Rattus norvegicus: one gene and its partners. The protein of the gene in region 1 purifies or fractionates together with the protein of each later gene. This does not show direct contact. Links are inferred from orthologs where the notes say so. Each region holds a gene or a part of one and is shown in the gene's direction. Other genes may lie near its edges.

Evidence for each region.
Region 2: the proteins of Smad3 (region 1) and Runx3 purify together in Homo sapiens (affinity purification with western blotting; 3 studies listed by BioGRID). This does not show direct contact. The link is inferred for Rattus norvegicus from reciprocal best matches to the Homo sapiens genes SMAD3 and RUNX3.
Region 3: the proteins of Smad3 (region 1) and Skil purify together in Homo sapiens (affinity purification with western blotting; 6 studies listed by BioGRID). This does not show direct contact. The link is inferred for Rattus norvegicus from reciprocal best matches to the Homo sapiens genes SMAD3 and SKIL.
Region 4: the proteins of Smad3 (region 1) and Hif1a purify together in Homo sapiens (affinity purification with western blotting; 4 studies listed by BioGRID and IntAct, with this or other methods). This does not show direct contact. The link is inferred for Rattus norvegicus from reciprocal best matches to the Homo sapiens genes SMAD3 and HIF1A.
Region 5: the proteins of Smad3 (region 1) and Kat2b purify together in Homo sapiens (affinity purification with western blotting, with the first as the bait; 3 studies listed by BioGRID). This does not show direct contact. The link is inferred for Rattus norvegicus from reciprocal best matches to the Homo sapiens genes SMAD3 and KAT2B.
Region 6: the proteins of Smad3 (region 1) and Smurf1 purify together in Homo sapiens (affinity purification with western blotting; 3 studies listed by BioGRID). This does not show direct contact. The link is inferred for Rattus norvegicus from reciprocal best matches to the Homo sapiens genes SMAD3 and SMURF1.
Region 7: the proteins of Smad3 (region 1) and Runx2 purify together in Homo sapiens (affinity purification with western blotting; 3 studies listed by BioGRID). This does not show direct contact. The link is inferred for Rattus norvegicus from reciprocal best matches to the Homo sapiens genes SMAD3 and RUNX2.

The regions. Positions count from the first base shown.
Region 1 is NC_086026.1:73,129,525-73,133,539, reverse strand, and holds the start of Smad3 (mothers against decapentaplegic homolog 3), read left to right. Parts: upstream 1-1,215; 5' UTR 1,216-1,417; coding exon 1,418-1,623; intron 1,624-4,015. UniProt on the Homo sapiens protein: Receptor-regulated SMAD (R-SMAD) that is an intracellular signal transducer and transcriptional modulator activated by TGF-beta (transforming growth factor) and activin type 1 receptor kinases.
Region 2 is NC_086023.1:152,676,359-152,680,445, forward strand, and holds the start of Runx3 (runt-related transcription factor 3), read left to right. Parts: upstream 1-1,287; 5' UTR 1,288-1,504; coding exon 1,505-1,789; intron 1,790-3,951; coding exon 3,952-4,087. UniProt on the Homo sapiens protein: Forms the heterodimeric complex core-binding factor (CBF) with CBFB.
Region 3 is NC_086020.1:114,183,073-114,186,572, reverse strand, and holds part of Skil (ski-like protein), read left to right. Parts: coding exon 1-86; intron 87-1,767; coding exon 1,768-2,000; intron 2,001-3,500. UniProt on the Homo sapiens protein: May have regulatory role in cell division or differentiation in response to extracellular signals.
Region 4 is NC_086024.1:98,394,398-98,397,897, forward strand, and holds part of Hif1a (hypoxia-inducible factor 1-alpha), read left to right. Parts: exon of another isoform or gene 1-287; coding exon 288-394; exon of another isoform or gene 395-1,555; coding exon 1,556-1,703; exon of another isoform or gene 1,704-3,073; intron 3,074-3,372; coding exon 3,373-3,500.
Region 5 is NC_086027.1:6,893,145-6,896,644, forward strand, and holds part of Kat2b (histone acetyltransferase KAT2B), read left to right. Parts: intron 1-1,899; coding exon 1,900-2,014; intron 2,015-3,500. UniProt on the Homo sapiens protein: Functions as a histone acetyltransferase (HAT) to promote transcriptional activation. Has significant histone acetyltransferase activity with core histones (H3 and H4), and also with nucleosome core particles.
Region 6 is NC_086030.1:14,747,702-14,751,842, forward strand, and holds the start of Smurf1 (E3 ubiquitin-protein ligase SMURF1), read left to right. Parts: upstream 1-1,341; 5' UTR 1,342-1,363; coding exon 1,364-1,418; intron 1,419-3,067; exon of another isoform or gene 3,068-4,141. UniProt on the Homo sapiens protein: E3 ubiquitin-protein ligase that acts as a negative regulator of BMP signaling pathway. Mediates ubiquitination and degradation of SMAD1 and SMAD5, 2 receptor-regulated SMADs specific for the BMP pathway.
Region 7 is NC_086027.1:23,741,558-23,745,057, forward strand, and holds part of Runx2 (runt-related transcription factor 2), read left to right. Parts: intron 1-208; exon of another isoform or gene 209-1,288; intron 1,289-1,682; exon of another isoform or gene 1,683-1,707; coding exon of another isoform or gene 1,708-1,723; coding exon 1,724-2,112; intron 2,113-3,500. UniProt on the Homo sapiens protein: Transcription factor involved in osteoblastic differentiation and skeletal morphogenesis. Essential for the maturation of osteoblasts and both intramembranous and endochondral ossification.

The DNA.
Region 1 (4,015 bases):
TCAAATCAGTAGAGGGACCGGTGGGTAACCAGCCCTGCATTCGCCCAGTCTGCGGTAAAGCCCTAGAGCTACCCCAAGTCAGGTTCTCTTGGCTTCCCACCTAGGCTAACTTTGAATAAACTTCCTAAGTCCTCCAGGCTTGCTCTATACTTTGTGTGTGTGCTCGCGCGCGCGAGTTCACTGATTTGTAAACAAAAGCTCTCTTACTTGTTTGGTGTTGAATTTCGGATCTTCAGTAACACCCTGTAATGTTAATTCTCCCCCTCCCCCAAAGAAAAATCCTAAAGCGCCCGCATTCATTCCTTCAGGAACGCAACAGATGTCTTTGAGGCTCCTTTTCTGTAAAGAGCTTGGTTCACTGGTCCCAAAGGACCCCTGGCTCCAGCTATTGTTCAAGTTGTCACTGAGGTCTCGTAACTCCCCTTTTAAGTCTCCCTCTCCCGTTTTCCAACTCCCTCCTCAGTAGTCTCAGGCAGTCAGCCGTTCTGATCTCACCCAGCAGGAAAACAAAAACAAAACAAAAAACACCTAAAGCAGCCCCGGCCACTGAGCGAGATCAGCGCGCCTCAACTTCCTGGGCCCCGAGCTTTTTCTGAACCCCTCGCCGCGCCCGGGTCCTCTCCCAGGTGCAGCCAGCCCTTGGCGGACCGTGCCTGTTCCCTGCGAGTCTAATCCTCTCTAGTCCTTGCAACTACATCTGAACGTCTTGGGGGCAGCGAGTCCCCAGGAGTCGGGTCCCGCGGCACTTGGCAGAGCTGACGGCCGCCGTGCCCGGTGGCCCACGTGGGCGCGCTTGGCGGAGCTGGGCGGGGAAGGCCGCGGGTCCTCCCCGGAGCAGGGCGCGGGGGAGGAGCGGGGAGCCCCGGCAGCGAGGGGGCGGCGACTGCGTTGGGAAGGAGGCTGCACGCGGAGCTGCGTGAAACGTAGACTTGGGAGCGGGCGGGAGAGGAGCGGGGAGCACGGCTGCACGGCCCTGGCCGGTCCTGCAAGGCGGCGATCGCAGGGGGAGGAGCAGCAGCGCTGCAGAGGCGGAGGGATCTGCGCACCAAAGCCATCCAGGCCAGCAAAGTTTGGCTGGGGGTTGGACTTTCCTTCTCGGAGGCGGCACCCAAACAGCTACCCCGTGCGGAAACCCAAACTTTCTACTGGCACTCGGAGTCTCGCGGCCGCCGCCTCCGCCCCGCGCGTCCCGGGCCTGTCCGTCAGTCCGTCGGTCCGCGTGGAGCCGCTCGGGCGCCGCCGTGTTCCGGATCCCCGCAACTGCAGTGCCGCTATCCTGGCCGGGACGCCTGGGCAAGTTCTCCAGAGTTAAAAGCGAAGTTCGGGCGCGGCGCAGGCCGAGCTGCCTCTGTGCGCCCCCGGCGTCCCCAGTGCGTCCAGCCCCGCCGGGGGCGCCGGTGACCCTTCCGTGCCAGCCATGTCGTCCATCCTGCCCTTCACCCCCCCGATCGTGAAGCGCCTGCTGGGCTGGAAGAAGGGCGAGCAGAACGGGCAGGAGGAGAAGTGGTGCGAGAAGGCGGTCAAGAGCTTGGTGAAGAAGCTCAAGAAGACGGGGCAGTTGGACGAGCTGGAGAAGGCCATCACCACGCAGAACGTGAACACCAAGTGCATTACCATCCCCAGGTGGGGTCCCAGAGCGGCGAGGGGTGGGGGGACGCGCCGGCCCAGCCCCCTAGCGCGGCCCGGTTGGATAAGGAGGGAGGGTGGGAGGGTGTGTGTGTGTGTGTGTGTGTGTGTGTGTGTGTGTGTGTGTGTGTGTGTGTGTTGGATAAGGAGGGAGGGTGGGAGGGTGTGTGTGTGTGTGTGTGTGTGTGTGTGTGTGTGTGTGTGTGTGTGTATGTGTGTGTGTTCGCGCGCGCCTGTAGGGGACGGAGAGTGGGTGGAGGGACCCCAAACAAAACCTTCGGATTTGTCCAGGCTCAGAGCCCAGGCTTCCGTGCGGCATTTTGGCTTCTAGACCTTAACGATCGCCAGCTGCCTCTGGGCAGCGGGGATGCTTCTGAGCTTGGCCCCCTAACTCTCGGGGCTTCGGGCTCCAAGTGGAGGCCCCGCTTTGTTCGGCTCTGCCGGCCGAGCCCCTCCTCCTCCGCCGCCTCCCGCCCCGGGCTCCTGGAGGTGGTGGCGTGTGTCCCTTTCTTTTCTTCAGCTCTGTTCCCCCATTTCTTTTCCTCGTCTACAGGAATGCAGTCGGTACAGCTGTGGGTGAGGAGCGGGAGCCCGTTGATTGACAGATTCCTTCTTCGCTCTTTCTTTGCCTTGGGATTAGCATTTTTACTGAGTATTTTTAGATTTGGTTGTGCCAGCCTCCCGCCCCCTGTGCACGCATGCACGCACGCACTTAGTTAGAGAGCAGAGCACCGACTTTGAAGCGGGAGAAACAAGTGGCAGAAAGTAGGGGCTTTCCCTCTTCCCACCCCACCCCTGCTGGTTTGCGATCTTTTAAATCCAGGGTATTCTGGTGCCTAGAATCGAGCAGGCAGCTCCAGGCAGATAACAAAACACCCTAGGGCTGGCCTCCCATCGGCCCTGCATTCCTGTAGAGCCTCTTTTCCCAAAGCGCTTTGCCATCTGTCCTGACCTCCTTTATCCTTCCCATCGGGCTAGAGGAGTCGGGCGGGAGCTCACAGATGGCTGATGGAAGGGGTCAGTGACTTCGCTCCCAAGGCCTTCTAGAGCATAGTCGCGTCTGGGCAATGGGGTGAGAGCACTTTAGTCTTCTGGTTTTGTTTTGTTTTTTCCTTCTCAGACACCTTTAAAGACTGATTCCAGATGAGGGGCAGGTGGGAATGTTTGGGGACGTCCCTGGCTGCAGAGGGATGGGGGGAGGGCTCCCAGGACCTACACTAGTAGAGGTCATCACTGTTCTGGGTCCTGGTAGCTTCCATCCTTGGCCACCTGCTCAAGGCAGCTGTGTATGGGCTGCCAGCCCTGATAGTAAGGCACAAAACAATGTCTGTCCACAGGGACCTAGGGTTGGCCTTCCTTGGAAATAAACACCACATATGGTGGGAATGCCGACTTAAAAAAAAAAAAAGAAACCAAACAAAAATAAAAGTCTTATCAACTCCAAACCTGAGTGGGTGGATCCTACTGAAGAGGGAAGGCTGTGTGTTGTCTGCTCGGCCTCTGAGCCTCTGCCAGCCGGCTTCAGGGGACCTGGTGTGATGTGGTGGTTTTCTCCGGTTTCCCCTTCTCCTTTATCGTTTCGATGGAGCAGGATGGTTGAGTTTCATAGGGCTCTGTCAGATCTGGAGACGCAGCCTTTTCCCAATCTGCCTGGGTGCACCCAGCCCAAGCGCTTTCTGTTCTGAGCCCTCCTCCAGAGCTATCAACTACGAAGCTGCAGAGTGTTTCACAATTTACAAGGCACGAACGTGCCTGGAGGACAACAGAACCGGGACACAGAAAAGGCACGGAGGTCTAGAACGATCTTGCTTTCAAAGTGACAGAACTTAGAGAGGCAAAGCATTCGACTAGATCTGGCGTACCCTTTCTCCCAGGTTGTTTTGTCCGGGGTGGGTAGTAGATCTCTTCTGCCTGCAAGGCTCTTGGTTAATCTTTGGGCTGGGGGCAGCTTGGAGGAGAGGCTGTGCCTTCCTCACCGGCAGGTAAAAGTTAGTGTGGTACTGAGAGTTCAGGCTAATGCCTGTGCTCCCAGCCTCCTAGGACTGGGTACCTTCAGCCTGGGCCTAGGAGGCCAGGTAAGGAAGCGGGGTGTTCATTCGTTGGCTCTTTGGCTGCAACCGATGACCGAACCCAGGGCTTCCTGCATGTTAGGCAAGCCCTCTGCTGCTGACCTACCCTCCCAGGCCTGGGATTCTTTTCTTTCATCTTTTCTCAACTAGTGAGACCCAGTTGCTTGGGTGGATCCAGACAAAGGTGGATTTCCATCCCTGGATTTTGTGCCCACGCCTCTGGGTCACCCTGTCTCCCTTGGCAACAGCTGCTGCTGTTTTGGCCATGGGCAGAAAGCTAAAGGCCACGTCTTGGGGAGGCGACTAGTTGGCTTCCTGCT
Region 2 (4,087 bases), on another chromosome or scaffold:
ACCCCGCCATCATGCACGCAGGGCCTGATTTCGTTTTTTGACAAAATGGAGTGTGCTGGGCTGAGGTCAGAGCCAGGCTGAGGTCTCGACGCTTTCCCAGTCGGGTCCCAGATTGTGTCGCTTCTGGGTCTTGAAATTGGTCGTTGTAGACAGGTCCACCGCCACTGCCAACGAAAATGCAGTCGAATTTCCAAAGCACCGAGGGAAACATGTGCGTTCGTTGCAGCTGTCCAGGGAGGAGCGCGCGGAGTGAGGGCGGCCCTCAGTGACTGTGGGCCCTTTAGCTGTATGTACACCCATGCCAGGCTTAGGAGACGGGACAGGGAAGATTTGCTGTCATTTCCCCCCCAGGAGGGGCTGGGCCACCAGGCAGAATAACAATGGAGACCCCAGGGTCGAATTCCCACAGGGCACTTGACAGCGCTGTGGACTCAGCGGACTAAGGCTGAGAAGATGATGGCTCGGCCCTGGGAGGACCCCTTTCTATCCACGGGGAGAAAGCGGTCCGGCTGCTCGCTAAGTCATCGACAGTTTTCTTTCTGTCACAGACCCGCATCCACTTCCACTACACCGGACGGTATACTGCGTGCGTGTGTGGTGGGGTGACATGACTCCAAAATGCACACCGTTGTAGGCCCTGTTGTGTTTTTCAAAGAGCCACGCGCTGCCTCGACAGAGAACAGCTCCACTAGGCCTGCGCGATCCTGAAACCAGTTTTGAGTGGGCAGGAACAGGGTGGTTGTCCCCATCCCACTGCTGGTCCGTGTGACAACCCCCATTCTGTCTGCCTCGAAGGTTGACACAGAGGCCACAGAGGCGAGGGCCAAGGCCCCGCAGAGCTGTGGAATCCTTCGTGGGGTGGAAACTCTAGGGTCAAAATCGTTTGTGGAGTGGAGGGAGTGAGGAACCAGTCTTTGGGTGTCACCGCGGTGACCAGCTGAGGGTGCAGGTTCCGGGCTGCGGTGACTTAGAGTTGAAGCAGCCAGGCTGCGACTCGAGGGAGGGGAACCGAGGCGCACCCAGGAGGCTGGAAACCGATTTTTGCCCAGGTCGCAGCGGCTGCTCCTGACTCCAGGGGACCGCGGCTTCCGCGCGGCTCCCGGGACCCGGGTGTCTAGACCCTCCAGGGAGGAGCCTGGCCCCTGCTTGGCTCGCGCGGGCCCGAGCCACCCGGTCCTCCACGGCGAACCCCGAGCTTGGGGGCTGCGATTGGCTGCGCCCCGCGTCGCTCGCACGGCCCCGCCCCGAGGCCCCGGGTACTAACCCCGCGCGGGCGGCCGCGGCGCCGCCACTTGATTCTCTAGGATCCAGGCTGGGGCCGCGGCCGCTGAGTCGGTGGGGCGGCCGCGCGCGCGGGATGCGGGACTAGCGGGCGCGCGGCCGACCGTCGGGGCGTCCCCCTTCCCGGCGACGCCCCTCCCCCGCGCTGGCCGGGCCCCGAGCCGCCGCCTTCCCGCCTCCCGCTTCCCGCGGCTGCGGCCGCCCGCGCCCTGACGGCCGCGGCATGCGTATTCCCGTAGACCCGAGCACCAGCCGCCGCTTCACTCCCCCCTCCACGGCCTTCCCCTGCGGCGGCGGCGGCGGCGGCAAGATGGGCGAGAACAGCGGCGCGCTGAGCGCGCAGGCGGCCGCGGGCCCCGGCGGCCGCACCCGGCCCGAAGTGCGCTCGATGGTGGACGTGCTGGCCGACCACGCGGGAGAGCTCGTGCGCACCGACAGCCCCAACTTCCTCTGCTCCGTGCTGCCCTCGCACTGGCGCTGCAACAAGACGCTGCCGGTCGCCTTCAAGGTGAGTGCAGGGGCCGAGCCGGGAGGACACGAGAGAACCTGGGCGCCCCCAATGCAGGAGCCCAGACAAGGGAGGACTTGGGGAGACCTAGCTGCTAGGACAAGGAAGGGGATGTCACCCAGCTGGCAAGACACCGGCGTGGTGTACCCGGGCGCCCCTACTGCAGGATCCCACTCCCGGAAGGACCCCCCGCTGAACTCCAGGCGACCCCGCAAGACTCAGAGAATACGGGAGGTACTGGGGTGGGAGGAAAGGGGATCACTCGGCTAGCAGAACACAGGAGTGCCTGGTCACCCACGCTGCAGGAGCCCAGGCCCGGCAGAACATGAAAGGAACCTGGGTGTCCCCGCTGCCTGAGCCCGGGTCCAGAGAGAAATATGGTGACATCAGTCAGGAGAGATACCAGAAGGGCGTCCAGGAGAACTGGGCGTGGGGGGTACTCCCGCCGCTCCCACTACAGGAGCCAGTACCCGGAACCCCGCGCTGAGAACGGTGCACCGCGGCCTCGCTGCCCGCAGGACACGGAGATTTGGGGCGCTCCTTCTCGGTTGCACTGACAGCTTGACGGGGCTATATCCCGCTCCACCTGGCCTTCGCAGGGCCCTGCACAGTGCATGGAAACCGGCGGGCTGGGACTTCCAGATTCTTTGGCACAGCCTAACCCGTAACCGGGATGAGGACCGCCAGAGCTGGGCGAGGACCCGGGAGGTGTAGGGTGCAGAGGGCGAGGAGGGCCTGGCCTACCCAGCGGCAGGCGCCGAGCCTCCTGCTCTGCTGCAGAAACACTTCCTTCCCACACTCTCAACGTCGCCGGCTGAAATTTTGCACAGGGCGGCCGTAGGCCGGTCTTAAAGGGCTGCCTCCGACCTTCTGCATCCCTAATGATAGGCAGAGCCTTGGGGAGCGCCTCCATCCTGTTTGCCCGGAGTCCTTCAGAGAATTTATTTTTTCAACTATACCAGGGATAGGCAACTGTTTCGTTTTCTTCTTTCTTTCTTTTTCTTTTCTTTTTGTTAAGGGGGGCAGCCAGATGAAACGAAAACGCCTTGGTTTTCCCCTAAACCTCTCGCAGCTGCCGTGAGAAAGGACAGAGTAGGAAGGACAGCGACTGGGGAGGTAGTGATGCCCGAAGCGGCTGGAAACGCCGGCTGCTGGCAGCTGAGGTCCTCCTTGCTCCCATTAAGACTTCAAATTGGAAAAGGGGGGAAAAAAAGACTAGTGACTCTTTGAGGTCTCCCGGGTGACATCTTAAAATACCAGCGGGGGAAATCTCCCGGGGAGGAGGGGAGGAGGGGGGAGGAGACCCGTGTGACTGTAATCGTCAGATCGGAGGTTTTACTGTCACTTGGAGCTTAAAAGGAATCTTTGAAATTAAAAGAAGACAGGATGTTGACAGGAAATCTGGCCTTTTTAATCAGACCCCAAACATTTTCTCCTTGAAATCTTTACCATCTGGATCTCCAGTCCCTGCACACGGCAGCCACGTTTAAATGGCTGTGACTCTGTTTAAAGTCTGGTTCAAAAAGCATCTGCCTCTTGATGCGCCTTGGGTGGGAAGGAGGGGGGAGAGATGACATTTAAGGGACATCTCCGCCCACCCATCCAACAGTTCCCAGCAGGTACAAGCTCAGTTATCGAAACCACCCGGCCTCTGGCCCCAGGTTTTCTAGATCAACTTGCAAAGCAGCAGTTTGGTTTGCATTTTGCATTTTCTCTGCAGAACGAATCCAGGCTCCGCTGAGGCCATCTAACTGGGCCTTGGTCACACTGCAGGACCATATTTCGTACCCCAAAGGGCCAATGCTTTAACTGATTGCAAGGGTTAGCCCCGTTATTACGGTTGCCGATTCTTTGGCGGAGAGCAGTGTAGCCTCCTTGCCGCCCCACCCTTACCTGTGACCTTGCTGATTGACAGCTCTGTCTTAGACTTAATTTAATAAAAACGGGTGCCTTCTTGGGGCTCTCATCAGTCACTGGATCCAAGATTTGGGTATGGGGGTTAGAAAGTTCATCATTTTGGGTTTGGTTGTGTTGGGAACGGATCTACACACCATTAAGCCTCTACCACCCCCGACTCAGAACTCCTCAGCGAGCCTGGGACTCAGGCAGGCAGCTGCGTGAGCCCCTCCTTTTAGCCTTCCTAAGCAGTCCTCTTTCCTCAGGTGGTGGCACTGGGGGATGTTCCTGATGGAACGGTGGTGACCGTGATGGCGGGCAATGACGAGAATTACTCCGCCGAGCTGCGCAACGCTTCCGCTGTCATGAAGAACCAAGTGGCCCGGTTCAACGACCTCCGCT
Region 3 (3,500 bases), on another chromosome or scaffold:
TCGGGAATGGAATTGCCACCATGGTATCCTGTTATAAAACAGGAAGGTGACCACGGTCCTCAGACCCATTCATTTTTACACCCCAGGTGAGTGAGCCTGAGCTTGCCTAGTGGTTGTGTGCTTGTTTGTTTGTTTTTCCCACCCCTTCCCTGACTGGTTGATTCTTAGTTGGTTTGTTTATCTGTTTATTAACAGCTGTCTTCCTACAGTTCTAGGAATTAAGACTTAAGTCGCTTACCTTTAGGTTTTCCTTGTTAGCTAATGCTAATTCAGAGTTGTTTTAGGCAAGAACATTGGGATTGAATGCATCTTTTGTGTGGGTGTATATAAAATTTCAATCTTGAAGTAGAAATTGAATCAATTTATTTTATCTCAAGAGATGAATGTGTTACTTTGCTTTTTGTTTTATTTTTATTTTTTGAAACCAGTTCTCATTAGGTAACCCTGGCTGGCCTCCTTATGTAGCCCAGGTTGGCCTCAAACTCACAGAGGTCTGTCTACCTGCCTCTGCCTCCTGAATGTTGAGATTAAAAGTGTGTACCCCACATAGTAATTTTAAAAACAAATGGTTGAAACTTGGAAATTTTATAACCACATCTTTCAAAATCAAGAGTTTGTATTTCAATAAAAATCCTAGTTCAGTCTGAACCTTAAAATTCACAGATGTGCACAAATCACTATCATACAGTTTCTTATTAAGTCTTCTAGGCGATATTAAATCCGTAAGGGTTTGTTTAATTTTTAATTAGAATACCAAGTGTTCGGACCTAGAGATAAAGAGTAGTAACACAGGCATCCTGCAGAGAGAAAGTGGGACATCTGATTCTTCTGTCTGTGCTTGGGGCCCTTTCCTTCTATTGAGTCGCCTTGTCCAGCCTTGTGTGAGGCTGGGCATGTTCAGTTGGTATCCCTGGGCGGTCTGCGCTCCTCTCCCCCTTAAAGAAAAATGGAGGAGTGGATCTGGGGGGAAGTCAGGGAGAGACTGGAGGGAATGGAGGGAGGGGAAGAATTAGAAAAAAGAAATTGAGATGTAAAAGGAGATGAAAGTGTAGGGCAGGGTTAGATAAGGGACCGTTTCTCCTCTTGGAAGGTTACTTAGATTCTAAATTACAGATCAAACTCTGTAAAGTGTCTCAAATTTGTTATGTAAGACTCGTAGATGACTCAAGCTCACAGTTACGTGAACTTGGAGAAAAATCAGTGTTGTCCTTTTAGTTTAGGTTTGTAGTGTCTGTTATTGCTGCTTCATTCATAATTTTAAGAGACTGTTCTATGGATTTTGTTGCAAGGATTGTGGGGCAGTTGGGCAGTACTCCTGTGCTCTCGCTGAGGTGTGTAAGGTCCTGGGGCCTCACCAACAGAGCTGCTGAGAAGCCCAGGAGTTGGCATCCGTAGTTACTCGTGTGTTGAGAAAGTAGTAGAGCGCAGGAGGCAGGCCTGGGCTACAGATGTGAGGTGTCAGGCTTGGGCTTCCATCCTTTTTAATTGTCAGGTGGTCTTAAGGAAAGAGGAAGAGACTCACTTTTGTTTTCTAATTTTATTTATTTATTTTTTAGGGTTTTGAAGTTACTCTCAAAATAGCAAAATCCCTCAGTTTTGCTGTCTTAAGTACGGACTTTCTTTTCTGAGAAGTCTTTTCCATGGCCTGGATTCTTTGTGTTTTATCTTGGTTATTCTGGTAGCCCTGAGGGTGTAGAGTGGTGGGTGTCACATCCTAATGCACACTTAGTGTGATGTAATGTGTGCTTTGTTTTCCCTCTGTCTCAGCTACTACTTGTACATGTGTGACAAAGTGGTTGCACCGAATGTGTCGCTCGCCTCTGCTGCGTCCCAGTCTAAAGCGGTCACCAAGGCAGAGACAAGTAAGTCCATCTCCAAACAGTCAGAAAAGCCTCATGATAGTAGTAAGCGCCAAAAGACAGTGTCTTACCCAGACGTCTCACTTGAGGAGCAGGAGAAAATGGATTTAAAAACCAGTAGAGAATTATACAGTTGTTTAGGTAAGTATTCAGAAGTTATGTTTTTCAAATCAGATAGTTAAGAAACACATTTGCTCAGTATTTTAAAGGCTTTTTGTATTTAAGGTAATTTCCCCTTCTGTAACCACAACTTTTACTTTAAAACAGTTCTAACTTTGAAAACTCAGGATGGTTTCTTTGCACCTCAATTGCGAGCTTTCTAGAATGTGGCAGCCTGTGGAGGATGATGAGAAAGGACGACTAGCTCCCATGCAGTGACATTGTCACCTCCCTTTTTCCTTCCCCTTCTTGTTGGTAGAATCCCTTATCTTCGCTGTTTTTTCTTCTGTAAACAGAGATACCACTTACCTGATGTTAAATATATCTGCATTGGATTTGTGGTTCAGGAGGTATAGAATGGGACTGCTTATATAGTAAAGCAAAGTTGGGACAGATAGATGACATCGGTGTAGATCCTGGCTGATACCTTGGAGAAAGCCTGCCTGTTTCCTATGCCTTCTAAAATGCGTAGACCATAGGGAAGGTGTGCATGAAGATACAGCCCTGTTCCATGGCGCATTGCAGCTTAGCCATGCTCAGTGCCATGCAGCTGAAGTATTTAGCATCCCTCGGGTGTCCGTCTGGCAGTCCTGTCTGCATACAGTGTGACAGCTTCCTGTATTTGAATTATTATTGCTGTGATTCAGTTTCTTCTGAATTGAACTATGATAGTAATATAACACTTGCATTCTGTTTGGTTTCTAATTAACTTTCTTTAATGATTAAGAAGTAATGTGAGGGACTAGAGCGCTAGCTCAGTGGTTAGGAGCACTTGTTGCTCTTTGTGAGGACCTGGGTTTGATTCCTAAGCCCCCACATGGTGGCTCACAACTCACCTGTAACTCTAGTTCCATGGGACCTGATTTCTTCTTCTGACCACTGCTGGTACCACATATAAGTACACATGATATACAACATACACACAGGCAAAACACAACTAACAGAAACTAAATTAAAAAAACAAAGTGAGGTAGTTTGGCCTACCATAGAAGTTCAAAGCATACAATCTGTTTGTCTCTAGTGTAACCACCATGTCGTGAAAAGTATCCCAGCTGTTTAGTCCCAGAGCATTGTCATGGCTCCTGTACAGATAGATCCCTGTCATCCTGTGGCAGTGACCCGATGGGTGACTTTAGCTCCTTGACCCTCTGTGGTCTCTATGGATGTGCCTATTCTGGACAGTTTAGATAAAAAGAAGGACAGTGTGTGGTTTTGAGGTCTGGTTTTACTAGGCATGTTTTTCTCTACTGTGTTTCTAGTAGGAACAATTTCTTTTAAGAAAAGAACTTAATGTTTTCCTGCGCTTATGCAGGTTTTGTTGAACCCCTCTTCAGTTAGTAGATATTTTGCATTGTGTCCCCTATGTAGTTATTATGAAGAATACTGCCAACTGGCATGCAAGTTTTAGTGTGGACATACACTTTCAGTTCTTGTTCGTATGCGTTTAGTGGTAGAGTGTATTGGGCTGTGTAACTGCTGATG
Region 4 (3,500 bases), on another chromosome or scaffold:
TGCTTGAGATTTAAACTTTATTTGAAGCTAATTGTGAACTGTCTTTGGAACTTTTGTCATTTAATTTGCATTATCAGTATTTATTAATATCTTGCTTCCACAACTATAGTATGTATAATAAGTTTTTTTAAGACAGGTCATTATTTCGGGTAAAAGGGATAAGAGTCAAATATCAAGGATGGATCTAAATGACACAGAGAGGCTGGCTATTATACTAAGTATAGAATTGTTACAGGTGCGTTTCAAACTTATTAAGTGAAGAAGAATATTGTTTTGTTTTGTAACAGGATTACTGAGTTGATGGGTTATGAGCCAGAAGAACTTTTGGGCCGTTCAATTTATGAATATTATCATGCTTTGGACTCTGATCATCTGACCAAAACTCATCATGACAGTAAGTACAATAGAAGAACTCAAGGAGGTAGTCGCACTGCTTTAAGCCCTGCAGTCTCTACTGTTGTATCTCTAACTTTCTAGTTAAAATTGCTACCCAGTCTCCAGATTCTTCCTAAGACATCTTGATCATGAAATTACTGTTTTGTTACAGCCATTCACTTAATAATACATAAAGCTTCCCTAGAATTTTAAAAACAGAACTAAATAAAAGTCAAATATGATAGATTATCTCCATACACATATTGTGAAATCGATGGCTGGTCAATAGAAGGTAGTCAGAGCATGTGTTCCGTGAATCAGTGAGTGGAATGAGTATTACACACATGTAATTAATATCTGACACTCTTGACATATGCTAAGTTTCTGGGGTTTTTCTCAGATGAAGTCTAAGATCCCAAAGTAAGTTAAAGTTCATAATTTCTCACTGGCCTGTTTAATCTGGACCTAAAAAACTTTCAGATTGAATATCACTGAATTAGTGTGATTTGCCCAAACTGTAGTCAGAGCATAGGTACTCACGATAGCATTATTATGGCTGATTTACTGCATTCTCCTCAGTCAGGAATCAATTTAGACTGCACGAATTGCTGGAAGACTACAGTATGATAACAGCTTATACATTCAAATTTCTGTAGAATAGTTTCTTCTCTGCTGCTTGAGGAAATAGTTGTACCATTTTCTTGAATGAGCTTGTGCCTAGTCTCTAGTCTGACTGTAACCATACATCATTAAAGGAACCGCAGCCACTCTGTCCCTCACTTCTGACTTTCTTCTTTTTCAGTAAGGTAGGAGTTTTACTTTGAGGTTTATTTTCAGTTGTGTTTGGGCTTCTCTGTGAGCTTAAACAGTCACACTATTTTAAATAATAAAAGATATTATTTAAATATCTCTCCTTTTAAAAATAAAACAGTGATCCAGCCAATCATGGTAGCACATACCATTACCCTTACCTACCCCAAAACCCCTGCACTGGAAAGACAGAGGCAGGTGGTTCTCTGTGAATTCGAGGCCAGCCTAGTCTATATAGGGAGTTAAGGACAGCCAGGGCTACACAGAGAAATCCTGTCTTTAAATAAAACAAAATGTAACAATCTACACTTGACACTTATTTGATGGAAAATTCAGTTACATTTTCTTTGTGGTACTTTCTTATCCCTAGTGTTTACTAAAGGACAAGTCACCACAGGACAGTACAGGATGCTTGCAAAAAGAGGTGGATATGTCTGGGTTGAGACTCAAGCAACTGTTATATATAATACGAAGAACTCTCAGCCACAGTGCATTGTGTGTGTGAATTATGTTGTAAGGTAAGCTTGGAAAGAGACACTTTTGTGAGAGAAAGTGGTAACTCTTTGGATTTACTGTGCCTTTATTAAGAAGATAGAAAATTGGCAGGCAGTGGTAGTACACATTTTTAATCGCAGCACTTGGAAGGCAGAGGCAGGTGGATCTCCATAAATTCAAGATCAATCTGGCCAATAGAGTGAGTTTCAGGACAGCCAAGGCTACAAAGAAAAACCCTGTCTTGAAAAGAAAAATAAATAAAAACTTTTGTTTTTATCTTTTTCTACTGCATTATGAGCTATATCCTGACCCATCTTCTCAAGCCAGCTGTTCCAGTGATCCCACAAAATAATATCATTCGTTTATCAGTCTATGGATCAATTTTCCTAGTTCAGTTTCCCAAGAAGGTTAAATGACCATCTTTGTGACAGGCTGTATAATGTGACCTGGGACTTTATTCTTTGTTTATGAACTCTTAAGTTATTTCAGGTCAATTCCTCTTCATTACCGAAACATTTTCATCTGCTGGCCAGACAGAGCGCTCTCCTGTGGTTAGTCATTTTCTTACGTTCCATACTCTTTACCCTGTCTCACTGAGTAGGCTTGACTGGCCTGGAACTCGCTGTAAACCAGTCCAGCCTTGAGTTCATAGCTTACCTACTCTGTGGGATTGCAGGGCTGCACCAGAAGTTTCCAGCACAACTTTCATAGATGCCACCAAATCCAAGTTACCCCACTTTGGCCATTTAGGGGGGCATCTTAAAACTTGTAGTTTTTGTTGTTGTTTCTTTCAGGGGGATATTTAGTGCTAGGATCAAACTTAATAATGCCTTACCACTTCTAATCACAAAGAGTTCTCTTGTGATTTTTGCCTTTATGTAAAATTATTTTTCTTATCTCCCTCATGATTGTTACTGATCCCAAGTTTTGCTTATTAGCCTTTCTGTGAAACATCCTTTCTTCATTGTAGTAGTGATCACAGGATATTGAAACTGTTTATCTGTTTCCCATTGAATTATAAACTGCTTGAAGACAGTGTTTTATGCGTTCATCTTTGTGCTCAGCCTCATTTCATACATTGAACATTAATATGCTAACTGGAGGACCTTGATGCAGACATGAAGCTGAGTGGACTTTTCATCATTTCTCTTTCTTCTTTCCTATCCTGTGAATGACATCCCCATATTATTTCCACCAAGAAAACATGATCCCCCTCATTAAGACTGGAGCCATTATGGTATTCTAAGATTATCTGTAGACGTGCCTTACGTATTCATGCTGAACAGTTATTTTGTGCCTCTTTCATTGTAGCATCAGGACAGAAGTCCTCTCTGCTTGTATCCTCCACGTACTTTAACTGTAGATGTTCTCGTCATCGCCTCTATTCTCAATGCTGTTTCAATTTAAATAAGTTGAATATTTTAATTAGTAAATTTCGTTTGTTTTTATCTTCATATTGGTGTTTTAAAACAATAAATATTTCTCAATAGTAGAATACTTGCCTAGCATGAACAAAGTCTTAGGCTCAATCCTCAGTACTGGGGGAAAAAAGAAATGTTGCAAGTATGCATGAAAGATGATTCATCTCGAGGAATGTTAAAATGCTTTTACTATATAAATCATATTTTATAGTCCCCCTACTGTCATTGTTTCAAGTGCTCTTTATAAATACTAATCTCTCTTTTTTGACAGTGGTATTATTCAGCACGACTTGATTTTCTCCCTTCAACAAACAGAATCTGTCCTCAAACCAGTTGAATCTTCAGATATGAAAATGACCCAGCTGTTCACTAAAGTGGAATCTGAGGACACGAGCTGCC
Region 5 (3,500 bases), on another chromosome or scaffold:
AGCTATTTCATATGGCTAGATTTTTTTCATTTTTTTTTAAAAAGGCATGTCTTTCTCTTCTCCTCTTTTCTGTTCCTCTTGGCTCCCCCCTTTCTCTTTTACCCTTTTTGTCTCTGGTCTTTTCGCACACACACCATTGAATGGAAGAGTGTTTGGAGTATTAACCTAGCTTTTTTGCCCCCACACATATACAAAGTATCTTGCTCATATCTACCTTCTGCTCCTCCCCCCAGCATCAATATATCATCCATATGACTCCCAACTTTATATCTTAAAAAATAACCCCTGAATCACTAATTCTAGTTAGTGCCGCCCACGAACACCCATGCATGGGGTCATCCACTGAGGCGCTGACAACCTATCAATGGCCACACTTACAAAGAAAAGTGACTCTCCCTCTGAAGCCATCAGTTCCATTAGCTTCTTGTCTAAGGGGGTGGCATCTGGCATTCTTACCCTCTCAGTGAGGCAAGTTGTAACACTCGTGCAGGTGATGAGTCACTGCTGCTGTGTGTTCATGTGCGTACGTTTTGTGTCAGTGGTCTGTGTCCTGAGCAGCCTTCCCTTCACAACATTCCTCCTGCCTTCATCTTCTCCATGCCCTCTCATCTTTGATGGTCTCTGAGCCTTTGGGGTTGTACCCTCACAGCCTTATTCTCAGTGTTGTGAACTAGATTGTTTTTTTTTTTTTTCCCCTTTTCTTTTTTTCGGAGCTGGGGACTGAACCCAGGGCCTTGCGCTTGAACCCAGGGCAAGCGCTCTACCACTGAGCTAAATCCCCAACCCCGTGAACTAGATTGTTAAAAGAGAGCTGCAACCATGCCACAATAAAAGAAGTATTTTCTTGTAGAAACAGGCTAAGCATCTCTTGTCCAAAATGCTCCTGAACCGAGTATTTTAGAATCTGTTTTTTTTCCTTCTTCAATATTTTTATTGACTTACTGATAGAGCATTTTTAATGAGAAAATCCAAAATCGTCTAAAATGTGAGACTCCACTTGTGGAGAGCCCATTGAGTACGGAATGAGTGATGCACACTGAGAATTCTTTTAGTCCAGGAATGAATGCTTGATCCAAATCAGCTGAAGGTGGAGAGAGCCATCTCTACAGGTGCGATAGCTTCATAGAATACCTGTGTGTGTGCACTGGGGTGATGATGAACAAAGATCAGGTCCGTGTCCAGCACAGAATAAGAAGGACACAGAGTGGACAGGACCATGTAGAAAGAGTGGGAGAAAAGGTGATAGGCAGGGAGGCGCATGGCTGCCTGTGTGCATGCCTGTGAATAGGTTGTTGTGGAGTGTGATTCTTATATCTCAGTCCATATGTGAGGCAAGAGGCTGGGCCTAGAGGGGCCCCTGCTAACCTCTCTAACCGGCCCCATTCCTTCTTCTCTCTGATGGTTTTTTCCTTAGTGGCAAGGGGCTGGGTGAATGTTACTAGATGGGCATGGTATTTAAAAAATACTTCTTTTAAAAGATATATTTAAACTTTGTGTATTGTATTGATTTATGTGGGATGTGTAGGTGTACACGCACGCGCACGCACATGCACACGCACATGCACACGCACATGCATATGCACGCATGTACCACCTATGTGAAGGCACTCACATACCTATGTATGTGTGAAGGCCAGATAACAACTTCCTGGGGATGGTGCTCTCCTTTCACTATGTGGGGTCCCAGGGATTGAACTCTCAGGCCTTTGGACTTGGTGGTAGTCCTCTGGCCTCACAACCCTTTTGTCTCTTACCTGCTAGTGTGTACTCTGCCTTCCTTCCCTTTTCGTCCTATTGAAATATGTACAGCACCAGGCACACCGTCTTTGGTTTATCTGACTTGTCCTGGTCTGTGCTGTGGCTTCTTTGACTAATCACACTTTCCCCCATGTTTTTCAGATCATTAAAAAGCTTATTGAAAGGAAACAAGCTCAGATACGAAAAGTCTACCCTGGACTTTCATGTTTCAAAGATGGAGTTCGGCAGATTCCTATAGAAAGCATTCCTGGAATCAGTATGTATAAGACACTATTTTTTTTTTTTTTTAAAGAAAAAGCAAACTTTCCTGTTGCTCCTGTGAGATGTTTGAAGTGATTTCCAGAGTGCAGCCATTTGAAAAGCTTTCGCCTGTCTCCTTTTCCATGTGTGGTGTCTCTGGTCTTTGAAGTGGGCAGCAAGCTGGTTGTGGAGGAGCTCCCCTGTGATCCCAGCACTGGGAGACTCAGGCAGGAGGATGTAGTGTGGAGGCTGAGACAAGAGAGAGACATTATCTGGGGCAGGGGCAGGGGCAGGGGCAGGGACTGGGGCTGGGGCTGGGGCTGGGGAAGTCAATCATAAAGAGTTTCTGATGTCCTTTTCTTCCTAACTCAACCCAGACAGTGTACCTTTAAAAAAAGTTATTAATATCCATACTTTATTCAGTCTGGCACTTGCACACCACGCTTAGCAACAGGAATATGTACTAAGTAGCGTGGATTTTTATATTTACAAATAGAGGAACTGCTCTTCAAATGGTTGTAAAATTATCACGCAGAAGGTCAGAACAGGAAGTAACCCGTTCTGCTCTCCAAATGGCCTGCTGTGGACAACCTGCCTTGGTGGCACTGTGGCCTGCATGAACACATTGCCTGACTTCTCTTCTTCCGCCCTCTCCAAGAGTGACGGGGGTCACATCAGTTGTTTCACGTTTTTATTTCACAGTAGCTTTCTTAAGAATTCTTTTGTATTCCCGAAAATTGAACTATATTGGGTTGTACAGAATGACCAGGGTTTGTAGATTAGGAGCTATTGTTTGGCAATCTTATTTGCTTTGAATCTAAGTTCTTACAATGACTCAGCACTTCCCTGCCTCCAGCGGACACACACAGACAACTCAAATTTTCTAGAAAAGAGAGGATGCCTGTTTCACTGCATCTGCCCTACCTCAGAGCTCTCGATGCCGACCCTCAGGTCTCATGTCCCTGTGTAGTCACTGTTAATGACTGAGTAATTGCTCCATTGTTCAATGCCTAGTGGTGCCAGATATTTTTCTGTTTTTATTTTATTTGTTCCTGATTTATTACTTTTTCCTCTTTTGTCAAATATTTGGACTTTTTTTTAATTATTATTAATATCAACTAATGTCACAAGGGCTAACCACACCTAGTTTCTGTAGTTCTACTGTGTAGGTAGGTAAACCGAGAGAGGGATAAAGCGACATTTTAGGGGTAAGGGAAGAAGTCAAATCCAGATGCCCTAGATACCAGGTCTCTGAAAACCAGATGTGCATTGCAAGCAGGGGCTTGGCCGAAGAAAACAGCGAGCAGAATATTGTCCTGAGTTAAAATAATAGCCGTGCTTTTGTGCAGGGCAATTGAAGACACTGGGCTTCAGTTTAAAAGAGTAGTACTGTTTTCTTCTTTCCCTTTCTTCTTTCTCTTGAAGAGCTGAAGTTCTTGCCTTAGTAGACACTAACTAGCTGAGACAGAAGCTCAGGGATACAGTCCTTGCCTCAGTGGTGG
Region 6 (4,141 bases), on another chromosome or scaffold:
GCCCATACACGATCCTATTCTTAGTTTCCCACCATTATTCAAAGGTCTGGGCTGCACAGGTTCATAAAAACCAAACTGCCTAGGACAGGGACAGGTACAAGCCTATGTAATACCTGAACTCAGGAAGCTGAGTAGGGACATCACAGTTTTCAGGTCAGCCTTAGCTACAGACGAGCCCCTGTCTCCAAAGAGAGTGGTCAAATGTTGTGGGTAGCTCGTTCTAAGGAAGCCACATAAAGCCACTACAAGAATCTGCCTATGAAATAAATTAGGTTCGTGTCAGATGTGAGTTTTGTAAATATACGCGGCCTTTTTATTTCCTCTCTAGAATGTGTTACCATAGAGATTGGTTTGCTTGCTGGGGAAAGCAAGGCTTTTACTTTTTACCTGCCTAACATTCTGGGGGCTTGGGGGTGGGTTCATCGGAAGGCAGGGAATCGCAAACCCGACTGCTTACTTTTCTGGGTTAGTTCAATTGTATGCAGGTCCCTAACCACAAAACCACCACCTCTCCATTTACATCCTTCATCTTGTTTAGCTGGTCCATATGCCGCACTTCCTGTGAGTCTAGCCACTTTGTCAATCGAATACACCAGTTGCACAGGGCACACCCGACACTCCATCATTGCGGGAAGTCTTCCCTTGGAACTTGCAGGATCTAAACGCTTTTTCTTCAAGAACGATAACGCGTGCCCATGCGCGCGTGCGCGCACCGTTCTTGGGGCTTCATGCAACACCCCGACTTCCATCAGGAGCCTCGAAAAGTCCGACACTGAAGAAACAATCGATTCCGAAAATCGTCGCATAAGTGAATCAGTCGGTTCTGAGTTTGTGACTAAGAACCAGCTCGGACGGCGCCGCTTGTGTGTACATGTCTATGTGTGAGGGGTGGTGGTGGCGGTGGTGTCAGTTTCAAGGCTCCCCGCCGGCTGCAGGAACCTTGCAGCTCCCTAGACCCCTTTGCGCGCGCCCAGGACAAGCGCGGCCGGCGTAGCGCCGTGCTCGGGCGCGCGCACGCACGCAAGCGCGAGGCCGCGCAGGGCCGGGCCGGCACGGCGGCGGGCGCGCGCAGCTCGGGAGGCGGCGGCGGAAGCAGCGAGGGCGGCGGGCGTCCGGCTGCGAGCGCGGCGGCTCCGGGCTGGGCCAGCCAGGAGCGGCTCCGGGCGGCAGCGCGGCTGAGCGCTCAGTTCTACGGTTCCAGCCCGTGGTCTCCGTCCCGACGCCTGCGCCGCGCACTCGGCGTCCCGGCTCGGACCCCGGCGCCCAGCCCGTGGCCGTAACCTTGAGGCGGCGGCGGGGCCGGGCCGGGCCGGGCTGGGGGGCGGCGGCACTGGATCCGAGGCCGGCCGGCCGCTGGCGGGAGATGTCGAACCCCGGGACCCGTAGGAACGGCTCCAGCATCAAGATCCGTCTGACAGGTAGGCACGACAGGGCCGCGGCCCTCGCGCCCCAAGGCGGTCCCGGGGACCCTGCGGACTCCCGCCCCGCCCCTTCGGCACCGGCCGTTGTCCCGGGACCGCTGCACCCCCTACGGCGTGCGCCCCTCGCTCGCGCTCCCGGCCCCGCCCCCCGGGTGCTCTGCAGGCGCCGCCCCTGCCGCCCGGTCCCCTCCCTCTGCATCAGGCCCCGCCCCGTCACATCAGGACACGCCCCGCTGCGGCAGCCCCGCCCTCCTTCTGCATCAAGCCACGCCTCGCTGATCTGCAGACTCGCCCCCTTCCTTAATTAGGCTCAGCCCTGGACTCTTCTGCAGACTCCCGCTCCCTCCCCCTCGCAGGCTCCACCCTTTGATTACTTTGTCGCTTTGTTGCCCCGCCCTATGGCTCCTCCCTCTGCATCATTCCCCGCCCCCTGCTTGCTCTGCAGGCCCAGGCAGTTGGCTTTTTCTGCATTAAGCCTGGCTTGCTGTTCATCCCTCTATCATGGATTCCACCCCTCTGGCTGATTCTCTTACCCCGCCTCTGGCTCCTCCCTCGTCAGGTTCTCTCCTATCCCCTCCCCACTCCCTCTGCCCACATCTATCATCAATTGCATATGGGCCACGCCCCCTAGCTACCTTCCTCTGCCCCTAACCTTACCCTCTGGATCACATCCCGCCCCCTAGCTCCTCCTCTACAGGATCATCTCCTGGCTCTCCTTTCTGCCCCACACCTACCCTCAGCTGCATATAGGTACCGCCCCTCGGGGCGCTCCCCCGGTCTCCTAGTGCTCCTCCCTTCCTGCTCTTCTCCTGGCATTGTACCTCGCTCCTTCAAGCACACACCTACTTTCAATTTCATGTAGATCCCGCCCCCTCGCTGCACCTCCTTTTGCTCTCTCCCACCCCCACCTCACATATCCATCATCCATCTCTTCTCTCACACCCATCCTCCTACCTGCCGTCCCCCTCTAGTGCCATCCCTCACTACCCTCCCACCTGTCCCCTTCCTGCTTCCCTTGCGGCTGGCTTCTCATCACTTCCCCTCCTTTCTTTCTTCCCACCCTCTCCCATGACCTGTTGTCTGCCTTCTCACTTCTCCCTCCTGGTACCTTCGAAGCACCCTACCCCCTACTCGTCTGCTTTGCTTCTCTTTGCTCTCCTACCTCCTCACCCCCTCCTCATCTCCCATCTCTCTAGCTTCCCTCTCCTCCCTTGGCTCCGCCCCCTCTACTGTCCTCCCCTTCCCAGCCCCGCCCTCGTCCCTGCCTGATCCCGCCTTCACTTATCTTTCAGTCCCTCCCACTCGCTTCTGTCTTCCAGCCTCCACCCTTCAGTCGCAAATTCCTCAATCCTGTCTGGGACCAAACGCCTGTCTTGTTCTCACTTCCCCCACTTCATCAGTGGTCCAGGCCTCTCCAGTCTAGTCCACTTCCGTTCTCCCTGAGGCCAGGCCACTCAGTTCTGCAGAGTCTGAGTCTGGTTCCTACCTCCTCTGCAACGCCTTCACCTCCTTGCCACATCCTTGAATCCCCTCCCACACAAGCTGAGCTGTGGTGGCTGCTCTAGTGCAGACTCCTTGCTCCCCTGAGTCTTCAGAGGAATGTGGAGGTTTCCTAGGCGCTCTGTAATGCACCTTCAAAGGTGAGCGCCAAGCTTGGCGGTGGGTCTGACATCATCAGGGTCGTTTAGTTTGCATGCAGGTGAGAGGCGAGCTCTCTGTCATAGCTGCCCCTCTTCGCTGGTCCAGAGTCCAGTCCACTGCCTTCAGCTTCTCCTTCCTTACTCCCTCTCTCTACCTGCAGACCTTACCAGTTTGAGTCCATCCCTAAGGCTGCATGGCAGGGTTGGCGGGCAGAGGGCCTGCCTTGGGGCTTTCCAGCTCAGAAGAGGAAACACATCTTTAAAGTCTGAGGCCTTGCAGGGATTCCCTGGATTTTTCGGTTCCAAAGCAGTGTGGTTAGCCCAAGGCTCTCTGTTTGCCCTTTCTGGCCGAGCCTGGGGGTAAGGCTTTTGATCATGGTGGGAATTCTTGGAAAGTTTGCTCTGTTTAAGAAAAGATTGACACTTTTTCTCTGAAGATGTCAGAGTAGATAACAACTTTTGACCTAGAACCCAGACTCTGGTCATATTGGACATCTTTGTCCCTGGAGACTTGCTCTGGAGGAGACCTGCTCAGTGGATGCCTTCGAGTGTTTCTGTGGTAGTTAGGAAGTTAGGTTCTTTGACACCCATCCTTGTGAAAGTCTGCTCTTTGACACTGGGCTCTGGTTTTAGTTACAGTCCAGGTTGGTTTCTGTCTTCCTGGTATAGTGACTGACATGGGGAGTTTTAGTAGAAATGAGATCAGTGGCTTAGAAATCTTAATTGTGGAGTTTGTGGCAGGTATCTATAAACCGATCCTGGTCAGCCGATAAAAGGGAGGCTTCAGGGGTTAATTTTGGTATTGAAGACTTGGAAAGTATCAGAGTTTTAGGTGACTTTGATGGGGAAGGACTAGGGATAGGTGTTACTAACTCATGGTCTGAGAGCAGCTGGTGTGATGGTAGGATTTTTCTTCCCATGGACCAACTCCCTGGACCCCTTTTTAGTTGTTGAGTAATATGCCAAAGTGCTTTGGAAAGCTGCTCTGTGCAGTAGAAAATAATGTTTCAATTTCTGCATTTGAATCGTATGATTCTAATGACTGTCTTTGTGGTATCTCATAGGAACTGTTTCCTGAGG
Region 7 (3,500 bases), on another chromosome or scaffold:
TGATCGCCTTAGCTTGGGTCGTGTCTATATAAACCACAAAAACCTAATCATTAGAAATCCCAGCCTCCAAAAACCACATTTTAGGTAAAAACTGCTGCTTTTTTCCCCCCACACCCCTTCATCTCTCAACCACAACCTTTTGGGGATTCCAAAATCGCCTACCCCCAAAACGCCGGGAAACAAATACATAAATAAATAATTACTGAACCATTTTTTACCTTTTACTTTTATTCCTCCAAAGTGGGGAGCGGCGAGGAAGACAGTTTAAGACACTAGACTTAGTCTGAGACGAAGACTGGACTTAATAAAAGATTGGAAAATTAATGGATAACCGCTGTGTATTTCCCCTTTCTCAGCAAGCGTTTTTGCAACTTACAACTTATTTTAATTACCAAGCTGTCTTTTTTTTATTTCTTAAAAAAAAAAAAGCAACCCATCCTTATTCTCCAGTAATGACAAGAAGGACTGTATAATAAAAATGTCCAGACATCCGTTAGAGTTTCTAAAACTATTTTGACATGCCCTCCTGTCACCCTTTTCTGATGTCACCTAAGGGGGGAAAAACCACCCCCGAAGTCTGTAAAAACCTTCCCCCCCCCCCCGCCCCAGCCAATGTGGGGTGGGGTTGGGGGGGAAGGGTGAAGAGTGCTCAGAAGTCAACTCGGACACTTGAGAATTTTCCTTCCTCCACTCCTGAAGTTATAACGAAAAATTAACGTCAGCAGGAGCAGCCTGAGACTCTCTAGCTTCTCAGCTTCATCGTAGTCAGATCGAGAAGAGGTTCTTGGTCCTGGGGGTGAAGGGGGAGCGGAGGACGCAGGCGGCGATGTCCTAGGCGGGGACCGCCTCCTTCCAACTTCGGGCGCCGAGCGCAGCGTGCCGGCGCTTCTGGCGGCCGGCGGGCGGCGGCAGCGGCTGCGATCCGCAGGCTCCAGATCTGTCGCCCCGAGATCCGCTCCCCCCCACCCCCCACTTACCTCCGGGCACCTTGAAACGCCAGGGGGGCCCGGGGCACTTGGCAAAGAGCTGGAGGGACCGGGCTGCGAGGTAGACGGAGGCGAGTGAGAGGGAGAGAGAAACGGGGCAAGGAAGGACTCGGCGGCCGGAGGACTCGGAGCGCGCAGGCAGCGAGGGGAGCGCGCAGCGGCCTCGGAGGAGGAGAAGGAGGCGCCGGCAGGCGACGGCGCCGCGAGCTGGACAGCCACGCTCGGCTTGGCGGTGGCGGACAGCGAAGGGTCACACGCGCCGCCGAGATGGACTGCTGAACCTGCCGGGCTCCACTACGGAACTGGAACCGGGAGTGGGTCGTCAGCGCACCTAGGACACGGTGCCCCGAGGGGCCCCACAACTGCATGCTGCTAACTTCAAGTCCCTTGCCTCGGCTGGGACAAACACGCCCCCGAGTCCCGCTCGCTGCTGCCACCGCCGGGGGCTCCCAAGCCTCCCGGTGGAGATCGGCCCCGCTCGGGTGTCCCCACCCGCCACCCGACTGTACGGGGTCGCCAGCCGCCGGCCCCCAGCTGACTCCGCCGGCACTCGGCTTTCTCGAACTTGATTTTCTCACCTCTTCTGTCCCGTCACCTCCATCCTCTTCCTCCCCCCTCCCGCCCCCGTCTCGCCTCCACCCCCTCGATTTCCTCCACCTCGCCCCCCATTTCCACCCTCCTCCCCCTCCCCCGGCCACTTCGCTAACTTGTGGCTGTTGTGATGCGTATTCCCGTAGATCCGAGCACCAGCCGGCGCTTCAGCCCCCCCTCCAGCAGCCTGCAGCCCGGCAAGATGAGCGACGTGAGCCCGGTAGTGGCTGCTCAGCAGCAGCAGCAGCAGCAGCAGCAGCAGCAGCAGCAGCAACAGCAGCAACAGCAGCAGCAGCAGCAGCAACAGCAGCAGCAGCAGCAGCAGGAGGCGGCCGCAGCAGCAGCAGCGGCAGCGGCGGCGGCAGCAGCGGCGGCAGCCGTGCCCCGGTTGAGGCCGCCGCACGACAACCGCACCATGGTGGAGATCATCGCGGACCACCCGGCCGAACTGGTCCGCACCGACAGCCCCAACTTCCTGTGCTCCGTGCTGCCCTCGCACTGGCGGTGCAACAAGACCCTGCCCGTGGCCTTCAAGGTAAGAGACTGGTTACCCCCAACCCCTGGCCAGGCCCGGTGGAATCTTCCGCGCTGTGGTCTCGGTGCCCGTGGGTGCCCTCCAAGACTCTAACCTTGGTGGCCCCACTCAGAGGACCGAGGTGGCCCTGATCTTCTTACCCCGCAGCGGTCACCGCGAGCAGATCCCCCTTCTCACCTGTGCGCCCACTACCATCTCAGCCTAGGTTCCCTTGCTCGTTCACTCTTCACGTCTCCCAGGCATGGTTCTTGCCTCTTTCCCTGCTGGGGCCCCAGACGCCCCGAGGTGCCCGCTGTGAGTTGCAAACTTCCTCCAGCCCCCTTCACCCCGGGGTCCCCGCACTCCTCCCGGACATCCCGGCTTCCTTTCTCCGGGATCCCGTGCGCTCCTTTCCCCGCAGCCGCAGGCCGCTACCCCGAGCTAGGCGTCCCTTTCCCGGATTGGGTGCCGTTTGGCAGTCCCAGCTGCTCCCGGGCTTGGCCCGGATGCCCGCAGGGTGCCGGTACCCGAGGGCGCTTGTGTCTGGGGCGGAATGAGGTGCCAGCCAGCCTTGGCGCGTAGGTTGAGGGTGCTCAGTAAACTTGGGATGAACGCGGGAGAGCGGGGACGGACGGGGACATTCGCGCCCTCCTTGGCCGGCTCCAGTTCCCGTTACTTGGAGGAAGGCGGGGCCGCCGGGGTCTCGGCTTCTATCGAGGCCCGGCAGCTGCGGGGGCTCGGGGCGCTGGATCTCTGAGTGCGGGAAAGGGAGTGAGCATCGGGGAAGGGGATCAAGGCTCAGGCTGCCTCCTCCCGCCTCACTCCTCCTGGGAGGAATCCTGTGGTGGAACTTCGGTTGGTCAGAATGAAACAGAGGTGAAAACTTTATTTGCCTTGAAGGAGCCAGAACCCCCAGATGTCCCTTCTTGGGGAGGTCGGTGGGTGGCTCCCGCCGGAGGCCTGGGCTCCAAGGTGCGCTCCCGCGGCCTCCTCCGCCGAGTCCGTTAGCTTGCCAGCACCCATAGCGGTGGGAGTCACGCGCAGCTGCGGACAGGTTGAAAGTGTGCGGGTCCCCAGTCTCTGGTCATATCTGTGATGCAGTTTGGGGTTCCGGCGCCATGAGAGATGGTGGTGGTGGTGTGAAGCACCCTTCCAAGCCCCCTCCCCCCCAGAACAGACTGTGGTGGATGGGTGACTGTCCACTCTCGCTGGTCCAGACGCTAGGGATGGAGTTTGGGAGCCAGCAAGAGAAATGAATCCATGGGTACATCCAGTTTTAGTGGGTGAGCCTGGGACCCAGCATCTGTGTAGAGCAGGTTAAGAATGATCTAGAAAGAAAGAAAGGGAGAGAGAGAGGAAAGGAGAAAAAAAAGGCGGAATTGTGCCAATTCCTTCATCTCGGACACCGG